Linked DNA regions of Oryctolagus cuniculus. The protein of the gene in region 1 interacts with the protein of each later gene in a biochemical or structural test. Links are inferred from orthologs where the notes say so. Each region holds a gene or a part of one and is shown in the gene's direction. Other genes may lie near its edges. The genes, in order: LOX, EFEMP2 and ELN.

The links.
Region 2: the proteins of LOX (region 1) and EFEMP2 form a complex in vitro, tested with the Homo sapiens proteins (2 studies listed by IntAct, with this or other methods). The link is inferred for Oryctolagus cuniculus from reciprocal best matches to the Homo sapiens genes LOX and EFEMP2.
Region 3: the proteins of LOX (region 1) and ELN form a complex in vitro, tested with the Homo sapiens proteins (2 studies listed by BioGRID and IntAct). The link is inferred for Oryctolagus cuniculus from reciprocal best matches to the Homo sapiens genes LOX and ELN.

The regions. Positions count from the first base shown.
Region 1 is NC_091437.1:11,784,179-11,787,990, reverse strand, and holds the start of LOX (protein-lysine 6-oxidase), read left to right. Parts: upstream 1-1,592; 5' UTR 1,593-1,597; coding exon 1,598-2,192; intron 2,193-2,470; coding exon 2,471-2,579; intron 2,580-3,812. UniProt on the Homo sapiens protein: Responsible for the post-translational oxidative deamination of peptidyl lysine residues in precursors to fibrous collagen and elastin. Regulator of Ras expression. May play a role in tumor suppression. Plays a role in the aortic wall architecture.
Region 2 is NC_091432.1:5,896,773-5,900,584, forward strand, and holds the start of EFEMP2 (EGF-containing fibulin-like extracellular matrix protein 2), read left to right. Parts: upstream 1-1,119; 5' UTR 1,120-1,291; intron 1,292-1,562; 5' UTR 1,563-1,563; coding exon 1,564-1,674; intron 1,675-1,890; coding exon 1,891-1,939; intron 1,940-2,429; coding exon 2,430-2,636; intron 2,637-3,084; coding exon 3,085-3,207; intron 3,208-3,506; coding exon 3,507-3,623; intron 3,624-3,739; coding exon 3,740-3,812. UniProt on the Homo sapiens protein: Plays a crucial role in elastic fiber formation in tissue, and in the formation of ultrastructural connections between elastic laminae and smooth muscle cells in the aorta, therefore participates in terminal differentiation and maturation of smooth muscle cell (SMC) and in the mechanical properties and wall integrity maintenance of the aorta.
Region 3 is NC_091450.1:50,184,406-50,188,217, reverse strand, and holds the start of ELN (elastin), read left to right. Parts: upstream 1-1,411; 5' UTR 1,412-1,485; coding exon 1,486-1,570; intron 1,571-3,812. UniProt on the Homo sapiens protein: Major structural protein of tissues such as aorta and nuchal ligament, which must expand rapidly and recover completely.

The DNA.
Region 1 (3,812 bases):
TAGCCAGAGGAGCAGCTCTTGGCCCTGGTGCCACTAGGTTCAGGTTCTCAGGGCCACTGCTGGGGGGTGGGTGGGTACGGTTCCCAGAGGAAAACACGTGTTCTTACAAGAAAAGGGAAATGGCTGAGTCGGCAGTCCAATCCACGGACGCCCCAAAACGTGGTCGCCAAGTATGCAAGACCCAGCATAACAGAGACAGGTGAATATGCGTGCACCTGTGTCCACAGCAGCTCCGTGAAGAGAGCGCTGAGCAGGCTGGTTCTCTCCAAGGCCGGTTTGGGGCGGTAGTTTTACACTGTGCCCTTCTGTACCAGTTTCTTTGAAACTGCGCGGGCCGGCCCCTGGGGGGTGTGAACGCCGGCTGGAGCGCCAAGCCTCACTTCTCAGGGTAAGCGAGGCCCCCTGCCACTCCTGCTGGCTGCTCTGGGCTGCCATCAGAACTCCACGCAACCCCTCCACGGGGCCTGGAGGACCAGTCCCTCTCCGGGGGACGCCTACACCCACTCCCAGGAAGCACCAGTGGCGACTCAAGTGTCCAGAATCCCACGTCAAGCCTTATCAGGGCTCGGGGGGGGGGGGGGGGTGCAGCCTGCGGCTCTCCCCTTCCGGAGCCTTCCCGGCAGGCCCCACGGAGAAAAGCCGGCGCTCACGCCAGCTCCAAGCGCACCCCCGGCCCTCATTTTTTGGCGGGGAGTTGGGGTTCTGCATAGTCTTGGCGCTGCCAGGCTTTGTTCCCTGTTAAAAAAAAAAATCTCGCTTTGGGTTATTAAAATAGTCGCCGTAGGAAACAGATTTGTCACCCGTTTCTCATGTTACCCACACTCCGAAAAACAGAATTCGATATCCAGGGGTGGATTGGAAGAGGGCGCCGCCCACCAGGGCAGGCGAGTGCGCGCGGGGCGGCCGGGCCGGACCCCGCTCCGGACGCGCGCGAGTTCCCGGCGGCCGCCCGCGCTCTCCCCGCCTCGCCAGGCCCGGTGACCTCATAGCATTTTTCTCCGTGCATACTTTGGCGGCGGCCCACCGCCTGGCTGCCGTCGCCTGTCTGAGCCTTTCAGAAATTCCTGCATGTTCGCCCCAGATAGAGCCGGGCGTCCCGGGCCGCGCGCGGCGCTCCGTGCTCTCCCCGAGCGCGCGCGCCCTGCAACGTGTCTGGGGGCGGGCGCGCGGGCGCGCGGGGCGGGCGGGGAGCTGTCCGCCGCGCACGTTTCCAATCGCATTACGTGAACAAATCGCCGAGGGCCGGCCGCGCCAGGACGGCTTGTGTAACTTTGCAAACGTGCCAGAAAGTTTAAAATCTCCCCTCCTTCCTCCGCTGCAGACGCTGCGCGCTCCCCGCCGCCTTCCAGAGGGACCGGTGGAGGCGAGAGCCACGCGCGCCACGTCCGGGCGGCCGCCTCGACTGCTCCAGGGGCCGCGGCGTCCCTTCGGCGCGGCTCGGTCGGGGACCGAGGGGCCCGCGCTGCGCCCCCCTCCCTGTGGAAGAGCGCCCCTCCCGCACGTGATCTGAGCCCCCATTTTTTTTTTCTTTTTTTTTTTAGTTTTATTTTCCGTTTTCTCCGAGCCGCGTCCTGGGGACGACCCCGTGCAGGGAGCGATGCTCTGCTCCTGGACGGTGCTCCTGCTCGGGCCGCTGCAGCTCTGCGCGCTCGTGTGCGGCGCCCCGCAGGCTGCGGGCCAGCAGCAGCCCCCGCGCGAGCCGCCGGCCGCCCCGGGCGCCTGGCGCCAGAGGATCCAATGGGAGAACAACGGGCAGGTGTTCAGCCTGCTGAGCCTGGGCGCCCAGTACCAGCCTCAGCGCCGTCGCGACGCGGGCGCCGCCGCCCCGGGGGCCCAGCGCGCCGCCGGCCCGCAGCAGCGCACGCCGGTGCTGCTGCTGCGAGACAACCGCACGGCCGCCGCCAGCCGCCCCCGGCCCGCCGGCCGCCACTGGTTCCAAGCCGGCTACGCGTCGCCTGGGGCCCGCGACGCCGGCGCCTCGCGCGCTGGCAACCGGACGGCGCAGGGCGAGCCCCCGGCGCTCAGTAACCTGCGGCCGCCCAGCCACGTGGACCGCATGGTGGGCGACGACCCGTACAACCCCTACAAGTACTCGGACGACAACCCCTATTACAACTACTACGACACGTACGAGAGGCCCCGGCCAGGGAGCAGGTACCGGCCCGGCTACGGCACCGGCTACTTCCAGTACGGTAAGCGCCCGCGCGCCCCGGCCCCGCGCCGTGCCCTCGACGTGGCTGCTGGGTGCGGCGGGCCCGGGGCCGCGCGGATGCGGTCCTCCGCCTCGCGCCTGGCCCCTGTGGCATCCTTTCCGCCTCGCTTCCCAGCCCCGCGCGCGCGCCCCCTCGGCCGCGCCCTGCAGCCCCCGCGGGCGCACGGCGTGGAGTAAGGCACCTGCGAGCACCCGAGCCGCCCCGGGGGTCCGCCGGCCTGCCTCACCGCGGCGTTTCTGTCGCCTGCTGGCGTCTAGGTCTCCCGGACCTGGTGCCCGACCCCTACTACATCCAGGCGTCCACGTACGTGCAGAAGATGTCCATGTACAACCTGAGATGCGCCGCCGAGGAGAACTGCCTGGCCAGGTACGGGCTGGGCTGGGGTCTCGGCGGCCCTGCCCCCCACGCCGGGGTTCCCCGCTGCTGCCGGGTCCCCACGGGGTCTGTTCCTGCAGACAGGACGCGACCTCTTGGGCAGATGCTGGCCTCCTGCACGGAGAGTTAAAGCTTTGATTTCTTTGCGTCCTGCCTTTCCAACCGCAGCGAGAACGCTTATCTGGGAGACTGGAAGCCCCATGTTACTTTTGTTTTCTCTCCGAGATCCTTAAACCTGGGAGCCGACTGTTTCCGATAAGCTAGTGTAAAACGACTCTGTGCTAATGCAGGAAACAGGACGGTAAACCAAGAGCTTGGGAATGCGCGCTTGAGAGAGTGGGGGCGAAATCTGCCACTGTGGCATCTCCTCATTGGTAAGGGCTGACTTTCCCTCTTTTGTCTGAGGCCACGGTTAACTTGGTTGTTTTGCTGTTCCTGCAGCCAAAAGGAGACCGTGAAGCAAGAGCTTTGTTTTCCCATCAGTTCTAAAATAAAACAGCCTTTTCTGGATGGGGCTTCTCGGCCTGTGTTGCTGAAAAGCCAGCAGAGGGAGCAATGCACGTTTCTGTGGGTGCCGTGCGAAAGTGCAGTGGAAAAGAAAGCCGTGGAGAGAGCTGAGCAGATGCACACGAAAGACAGCAGTGGGAACACCGTGGCCTGTGTGCATTTCCTCCACGTTGGCCCTTTGTGGTCTGGGGCTAAAGCCAGGGAAGAAGTTCAAGTTCATGTCCATTGCTGGGTCTTGCATCACTCACATCACCGAGCTCCTTAGGGTGTCACTTCAGTGCAGTCCCCTGGTTAAAAGTTACCACATTTAGTGATCCGAACTTGAACATTTCTTTTTTTAGTTATTTCACCGTTTTAGATCTCAGTTAACAATTTAAAAGAAATGTGTGGTTGCAGTTTGAATCGTTAGTTAGGTCTGGGTTTGGGTTTTCGTTTGGCAGACTTTGCGCTTCCGTGTCCCTTCTTCATGTTGGTAACCGATTTTACGTATACAGTTCACGTCGCACGTAGAGGCTTTTAGTGCTCCTTTTGTTATGTTTTCACTTTTTTAAAGTTCTGCCTGGATTTCTATCTTGTGTTTCATTCTCAAGTCGGCCTCTCAGAGCCCATGGGCGAGGTTTGTTGGGGGCAGGGAGGCTGTCACAGCGGGCAGTGGGCTTTGTTTGTGGTTCTGTGTCTGTAGCTCATAGGCTGTGACCCTGACCCCATATCTGCTTT
Region 2 (3,812 bases), on another chromosome or scaffold:
GCCGGATGATGTTAGCAGCTGCAGCCTAGGAGGGCTGCGAGTTCTCCGCACCCTCGCCAACACTCGTGAACGCTTGGTTTTCAAGAATTCGGACTTCGGGCTTTCTTGCCCCAGCCCCTGGGCAGGTGGTAGGAATGCATCAGCCTGAGCCCCACCGGGTCAGTTGGGGGCGATCGGGGGGTCAAGCAGGGATGGGGAAGGGACGGGAAGACCCGACTGTTCCCTCTCGCAGCCTGCGGGGTGCCGGGAGCCCTGCACACGCGGCCCTTTCCCGTCTGGCCCAGCCCTGAGACGTGGGCAGCGCGAAGCCCCGCCCCTTCCTGGGAGTCGAACCCTCCCGGGCTCCGCCCCGGCCACGCCCTCCGCTGGGGGAGGGGTCGGAAGCCGAGTGGGGGGCGCGGGCGAGAGGAGGGTCGCGAAGGCGTTGGCACCGGAGCCTGGCGTCCCTGGCCCCCGAGTGCACCCTGTCCCTGCTTCGCGGGGGCCTGCCATTCATTTGGGGCCAAAAGGGACCTGCGCCCCCGCCCCCGACCTCGGCTTGGAGGGCTGAGCGCGGGGGCGGGGGAGGCCGTGCAGGAGCGCAGGGACCACCTGGCGGGAGATGGCGGGGCGGGGGGGGGGGTAGAAGGGAGAGATGGGCAGCTCTGCTCCCGGGACCCGGGAGCGTCTCGTGCCGGGGCGAGGGTCGGGGGCCCGGGGTGAAGTTTTGGGGACGTCTGGAGTGACGGTCTGGGGGCACAGAATACAATTCTGGGGGGGTCGAGTGAGGGGATGGAGGCCCCAGGGCTGGGTGGGGCCTCGGATCCTACCTTCGGGGAGGCTCAGAATGAGGGTCTGGGGGTGCGGGACTGAGCAGTGGGTGCGCAGAAAGGAATTCTGCGCGCGTAGGTAGCAGCCAGGTGCGCGGGATGACGTTTCTGATGAGGGCCTGCCCCCCCCCCCGAGTGAGTCTGGGGGCTTGGCATCCAGGTCCATGGCACCACGATCGAGCGCTGGGGGACCCTGGCCCGGCGCCGGGAGGCGGCTCCGGGAGGCGCCGCGGGGGACCGGGCGGGGGCCTGCGGCCGCCGGCCGGGGGCGGAGAAGCGGGGGGTCGGGGTCCCTCCCCCTGGCGCGGGCTCAGGAATCCGCCGAAGGGCGGGCGGAGGCGCCGGGGTGGGCCGCACCGCGGCGGGCGGGCGGGCGGGGGGCGCTTCCTGGGGCCGCGCGTCCAGGGAGCTGCGCCGTCCGCCCGTCCGTCCGCCCGCAGGCACTGTTGGAGCCGCCGGAGCCGCGGGGGCGTCGCGGCCGAGTGAGTGGCGGCCCGTGGGAGGGGGGCGCGGGCCGGAGTCTCGGCAGAGTCGGCGGCCGCCGGGCCGAGAGGCCCGCACCGCCAGGGAACCGGGCGGGGGCGGAGTGGGCCCGGAACCCGGGCCTACGAAACGAGTGGGCCCCGGGTCCTGCGGGGCTGCAGGGCCCCAGGCTCGGACCTGAGCCGGAGCTGGCGGGGCCGGGGCCCGGTGCGGGGGGATGGGGCGGCCGTGGCAGAGGCCCCTGACCCGCCCGCCCCCTCCCGGCCGCAGGATGCTCCCCTTCGCCTCCTGCCTCCCTGGGTCTCTGCTGCTCTGGGCGCTGCTGCTGCTGCTCTTGGGGGCAGCGTCACCGCAGGACTCCGAGGAACCGGACAGCTACACGGTGGGGACAGCGGGGGCGGGTGGCCTACCACTGGGAGACCAGGGTCCCCGGAGGCTGTTCTTGGGGGAGATTCGCCCCCCCAGCCCGGCCGGTAGAGCAGCTGGGGGCCGTTGTTTGGAACAGACTGGGAGGGTGGCCCAGGCTCAGGCCCTGCTATTGGCCTGGCCAGTTGGAGGGGACCCTGGGTGACCACTGCAGCCTCCGGTTTCCTTCCAGGAATGCACCGATGGCTATGAGTGGGACCCAGACAGCCAGCACTGCCGGGGTGAGTGTGACAGGGGGACCAGCCCCCCAGGAGCAGGGACCAGAGCCCAGGGGGCCTGTGCTCTACCCAGCCCAGCAGGGCAGGGCGGCCCCTCCCTCTCCAAGAACCCCGGTAACCCTGTCCCCCCCCCCCGGGGTAGATGGGAGAGCCACTGGGGGAGCCCCGGAGCAGCTGGTCCCATGGAAGGCTTTGCCCCATCGCAACCTGGGAGGGCGGTGTCCACGGGGGGGGGGGGGGCTGCAGATCACTGCCCGGCTGAGCCAGGGCCAGGACCCCCTTGGAGGCAGCGTGGGGGCAGCAGTGGCAACCCCTTCCCCACTTCCAGCCTGTGGCGGGGCCGTGTGGAGGGGAGGGGTCCTGGGTACACCAGGCTGCCTCAGCTTGTGGAGCTCAGGGAGGGCCAAGCGGGCTCCTGCCTCGCCCCCCCCGCCCCGCCCGGGGCCGGCCCCCCTCCCGGGACCGGCTGTGCCGAGCAGGCCGCCTCCCGCAGATGTGAATGAGTGCCTGACCATCCCCGAGGCCTGCAAGGGCGAGATGAAGTGCATCAATCACTACGGGGGCTACCTGTGTCTGCCGCGCTCCGCTTCCGTCATCAACGACCTGCACGGCGAGGGCCCCCCGCCGCCTGTGCCCCCCGCTCAGCACCCCAACTCCTGCCCGCCAGGCTATGAGCCCGACGAACAGGAGAGCTGCGTGGGTGAGTCCCTCTGGGCCCGGGCGTCCCATGCTGTCGCCACGCTTCTCGCAACTTGGGCTCGCGTTCTTGCGTTGCTCCAAGCCCTTACTGATGGCTCCTGGGGGCCACCAGGGGCTGCCCGGCCCCTCATCCAGGCCCTCGCTGTGTCCGGGGCCAGTCCCAGGGGACCCTCCCCTCACGTGCTGCAGAGACCCTGCAGGAGCCTTGATCTGGACTGCACCCCTGGAAGCCGCGGGCCCTGGCGGGGGGTGTCCTGGGATCAGGGTCGCTGGGGGCTGAGGGTGTGGACAGAGCCTTGTCTCCTGCTGCCTCCCAGGCTGGTGGGCGGGTGGGAGGGGTCTCCTGTGCCCTCGTGGTGGCTTCTGGACTGCGTCCTCCCACGCTGGGTGCCTGCCTCGCCGGATGGCGTGAGCGACCCCAGGCGGAGGCTCAGGGGTGTCTGCTGCAGATGTGGACGAGTGTGCGCAGGCCTTGCACGACTGTCGGCCCAGCCAGGACTGCCACAACCTGCCTGGCTCGTACGAGTGCACCTGCCCGGATGGCTACCGCAAGATCGGGCCGGAGTGTGTGGGTGAGTGCGGCCAGCAGCCTGTCTGTTCCTGAGCCCCCAACTCCAGCCCACCCCCGGGCGTCACCCCAGCCCCCGGCCCCCTCTGCCTTCCTGCCATCAGACACAGAGGACTGCATGGACACCGTGTGTGTGCGCATGCGCATGTGTGTGTGTGTGTGTGCCTGTGCGTGCGTGCGTCCTCTGGCTGGCTGGCCCCGTCCAGCTGCCCAGAGACATCCGGGTCTGTGGGCAGTGAGGCCTCGAGTGGGGGCCCCACTGACTGGCGCCTTCCGCGGCCTCCCTCCCCGCCGCCGTCGCAGACGTTGACGAGTGCCGCTACCGCTACTGCCAGCACCGCTGTGTGAACCTGCCCGGCTCTTTCCGCTGCCAGTGCGAACCGGGCTTCCAGCTGGGGCCCAACAACCGCTCCTGTGTGGGTGAGGCTGGGCCAGGCCGGGCTCCTGGGGCCCCCGGGGCTGGGAGGTATGAGCTGGGGGAGCGCCCTTGGCGGCCAGCCCAGACTGCCCCTCTGCTTTTGTCCCGGCACCCCCAGATGTGAACGAGTGCGACATGGGCGCCCCGTGTGAGCAGCGCTGCTTCAACTCCTACGGGACCTTCCTGTGTCG
Region 3 (3,812 bases), on another chromosome or scaffold:
CGAGCTCTGGGTCAATGGCCTGCCATCGACCGCTCCACCCCCGGCCAGCCCCAGAGCTCCTGGTGTGTGTGTGTTGGGGGGGACATCGCACTCACCCCTCTGAGCCCACGGCTTCCATGGTCTTAACTGACCTCTCACTGGCCCAGCTTCTCTCCCGGCTCCCCTATTTCTGCCCCACTTGCAGAGGTGAGGAGAAACGGGACTCCCCAGCTCCACACCCCCCACATCTCCCCAAGCCCCTAGGGTCCCCATCTTGTCCCAGCTGCTCCTAGTGTGGCACCCAGGCTGAGAGTTCAGCTGGATCGCCATCTGGGCTGTCTCAGTGCAGGTCGCCCCCTCCTGGCCACTGGGGGAATGGCAGTCCCCCAGGCATTCCCAGGGAGAACAAGACATGTAGGGGCTCCCAGGCCTGGTCTGGGGCTCAGCCTTGCTGGAGACAGGTGGTGGCCAAGGGGCGAGGCGGGGCTGCCTGTCTGTCTGCACAGGGCTCCCACGTCCCTGGACTCACGGGTGTCTTGGGCTGCAGCCTGTGTGGCGCTGGCAACAGGGCCGACTTGGACTGTGCAGCTGAGCGTGTCAGGGTCCCCAGGTGCCCCAGGGGACAGCGTCAACACGGCCTGCACTCCCAGGTTTCTCCCCTGCCTGCAGCCCCTGGCCTGGGTGGACAATAGCCCCAACCTTCCCCCACCAGCACATCCCGTACCCTCCCCTGGACTTCAGGCAGGAACTCAGGCAGGACTTCATTTCATGCAGAATGGAGCCCCGGAGTGGGCCAGGGTCCCCCGGACCACCCTCCAGCTGCCCCCATCTCACCTTCCAGAACATTCTGCCCACAGCCCCTTTGACCTCCGCAGACCTTGGCACCGGACCCCTAGGCCTTGTCCGGTGCCGCCTCCTCCACCCCCACCCCCCACCCCACCCCAGCTCTGGGCAGGGCCCGTCTCTGGCCAGGCCTGGGGGTGCTGGGGAGTCTGGAGGCCTGGGGTGGGGGCGAGGCGCGGGACAGCTGGCCTGTGTCCCCACGCTGGGCCCGGGGCCCAGCCGGAGGGGCGGGGGCCTGGCCACTCAGGCCTTGGCTGGGGCCGGGATTTTTTGGCCGGGCTGCCTGGCCCTCCCTCCTGCTTCCTCTCTCCCCGAGGGTTGTCCTGGCAGAGGCCCCCTCACACTTTCTGGCGGGAACAGAGCCAGCCTCTAGAACAGGCACAGGGGAAGGAGATGGGGAAAGAGTGTGCGTGTGTGCGTGTGCGTGTGTGTGTGTGTGTATGTGTGTGTAGGGAAAAAGCCCTCAGCCCAGCCCAGGCAGGCCCAGCCCGGGAGGCTCGAGCCCGGCCCTTTCGTAACTGCCCCCTCCCCTGGCCCCCTCCCCCAGCCTCCCCCTCCTCCCGCCCCCCCCCCCCCCGCCCGCCCTCGCAGCCGACCAGGCGGCAGTTACGCTTTGGGGATAAAACGAGGCGTGGAGAGCAGGCTGGGGCATTTCTCCCAGAGATGGCGGGTGTGACGGCAGCGGCGGCCCCACGGCCCGGACTCCTGCTGCTCCTGCTGTCGCTTCTGCACCCCTCGCAGCCTGGAGGTAAGGGCCCCCCGCGTCCCCAGCCCCCTCGGCACCGCCGCTCCGCTGCGCGCCGCCCCCTGCCTGTCCCTGCCCCCGGTGTCTGTCCTCGCGAGCCCGCGGCTCCCTTAGCCAGGTGGCTGGACTGACGGAGCCAGTCTCTTGGCCCCTGGGGCTTCCAGGAGCCCCTCGGCCACCGGGTCCCCAGCGTTGCCCCTTGTACTGCAGAAGAACCTGTCAAGCAGAGACCCCCACAACCCAGGCTGGTCCCAACCGAGCGTCCAGGCTGTGCCACTCCGCTCTGGCCAAAACCCCCTCCCCATGGAGGGAGGGACCAGGACCCGCTGGGAAGAGCTTGGCGGGACCCCCCTCGCTCTGCAGGCACCAGCCGTTTGCACACCTGTGGACCCTGGGGACAAGGGACGTGGCTTTGAGACCACTCAGCCGCCCGCTGGGAGCTGTGTGACCTCAGCAGGTCCCTTGTCCCCCGGGAAGTCGGGCAGGATGACGTTGGTGATGGGATGCTGTGACCCCTGCATGCATGCATGCAAGTGACTGTGCGGATGAGTGTGCCGCGTGCTGTCGCACAGGTGTACATGTGCTCACACGTGTCACGGAGCAGTGAGGCGGGGTAGGGGCTCCTGGGAAGCTCTGCCTGTCACTCCTGAGCAGGTAGCCATGGTGGGGGCAGGGGGGGAGTCACACACACGTGGAAGGGCTGGTTCCAGGGCTGTCGCTGCACCTGTGAGTGTGCGCCTGTGAGATGGGCGCTCCCAGGGGCGGCGGGCAGCCGGGAAAGGGGTCCGCCTCCTGGCAGATGGAGTGCAGACAGTGGCAGGGGCTGCTGTGGGCCCCAGGGCACGGCTGGGCCATCTCGATGGGTCCTGACCCAGTGCCTCCAGGGGGCTACCGGCAGGGACCAGGTGAATCTGGCCGTGGGGAGAGAGAGCAGAGGGCGGCCTGGGTGGAGGCCCGTTCAGCAGACCTGGAGTCGGGGGGCTCTGGGGCTGCAGGGCGGAGCAGGGTGCGTCCCGTCCCCGGGCCCGGAGCCAGACGGCGGGCCGGGAGCAGCAGCTGCTTCTGTGACATTGTCCAGCCGGCTCGGCTGCTGGGAGCCGGAGCTTCCTTGTGCGGGGTCCACTCCTGGACCTGGATGGGGGGGGGGGCTGAGGGTTGCAGGCCAGTGCCCTCCCCCATGTCCAGGACAACCCCCAAACACCTGCTTGCCCCTGTCCCCAGACACTGCTGCCGCTGTGAGCCAGCAGCAAAGGGTCACAGGGACCCGAGACTTGGGAATTAGCATCTGCGTTTTCCAAGTGAGGAGACGGAGGCAGGCTGGGGGGAGCATCCACCAGCCCCATCTGCCGCGGCTAAACGGACATGGGCACTGGGGAGCCGGGTACGACACGCAGGGAAGGGCCGCCTCAAACCTGCGTCATTCTCCGTGAAGATAAACCTCAGCTCCACCCCGTGGGGCTGGATAAACTGGGCTTTAAATATGGGGCCAATGATTGGACGAGGGGGGGTCTGTGCACTGGGACTACCAATGTCCCATGAGGTCAAGGATGTTGGAGGGACCCTAATTACACACTCCCAGCCACCACCACCACCACCACCACCCCCCGCCCTAGCTGTCCTGGGGTCGGGGGAGTCCATACCTGGGGAAATCCGAGTAATTCTGACCCTGGCCATGTTCCCACCCCAAACCCTCACCCCGCAGAATTCCTGTTTGATTTGCGCTGGGGGGAGGGGATCCAGCATGGCTGCCCCGGTGATGGATGACCCGCCAGTGCCGACAAGCGCTGCTTTAGGGTTTGAACACCCTCCCCCTCCCTCCCCCACACCCCGGGCATCTGGCAGGAAAGCAAATATGCCACCCGACGTCGCTGGACGCACTGCTTTTGAAAAGTCTTTGGCAGGCTGTTCTCCATGCAAGCAACACACAGCTTATCTTGCCAAACTGGCCCCCTGGACACTGGCTGGGCAGAGCCGCTGCTGCTATGGCCCGCTGGCCCGCAGCGCCATCCCAAACATGCTTCTCCCAGGTCTTTGAAGTGGGAGCCCAGGGCCCCCAGGCAGAGAGAGGGACCTGCCTGTGACTGGGCTGAGCCGCAGGTCCCGAGCCAGGCGCTTCATCTCTCTGGCTGCAAACCTGAGCACCTCCAGGGGCCGGCGGAAGGTTCCAGCAATGTCACGCCTGCCAAAAATGCATCAAATCAGAGGACCGTGGGAATGCTCTTTAAAAAAAAAAAATTCTCTTATT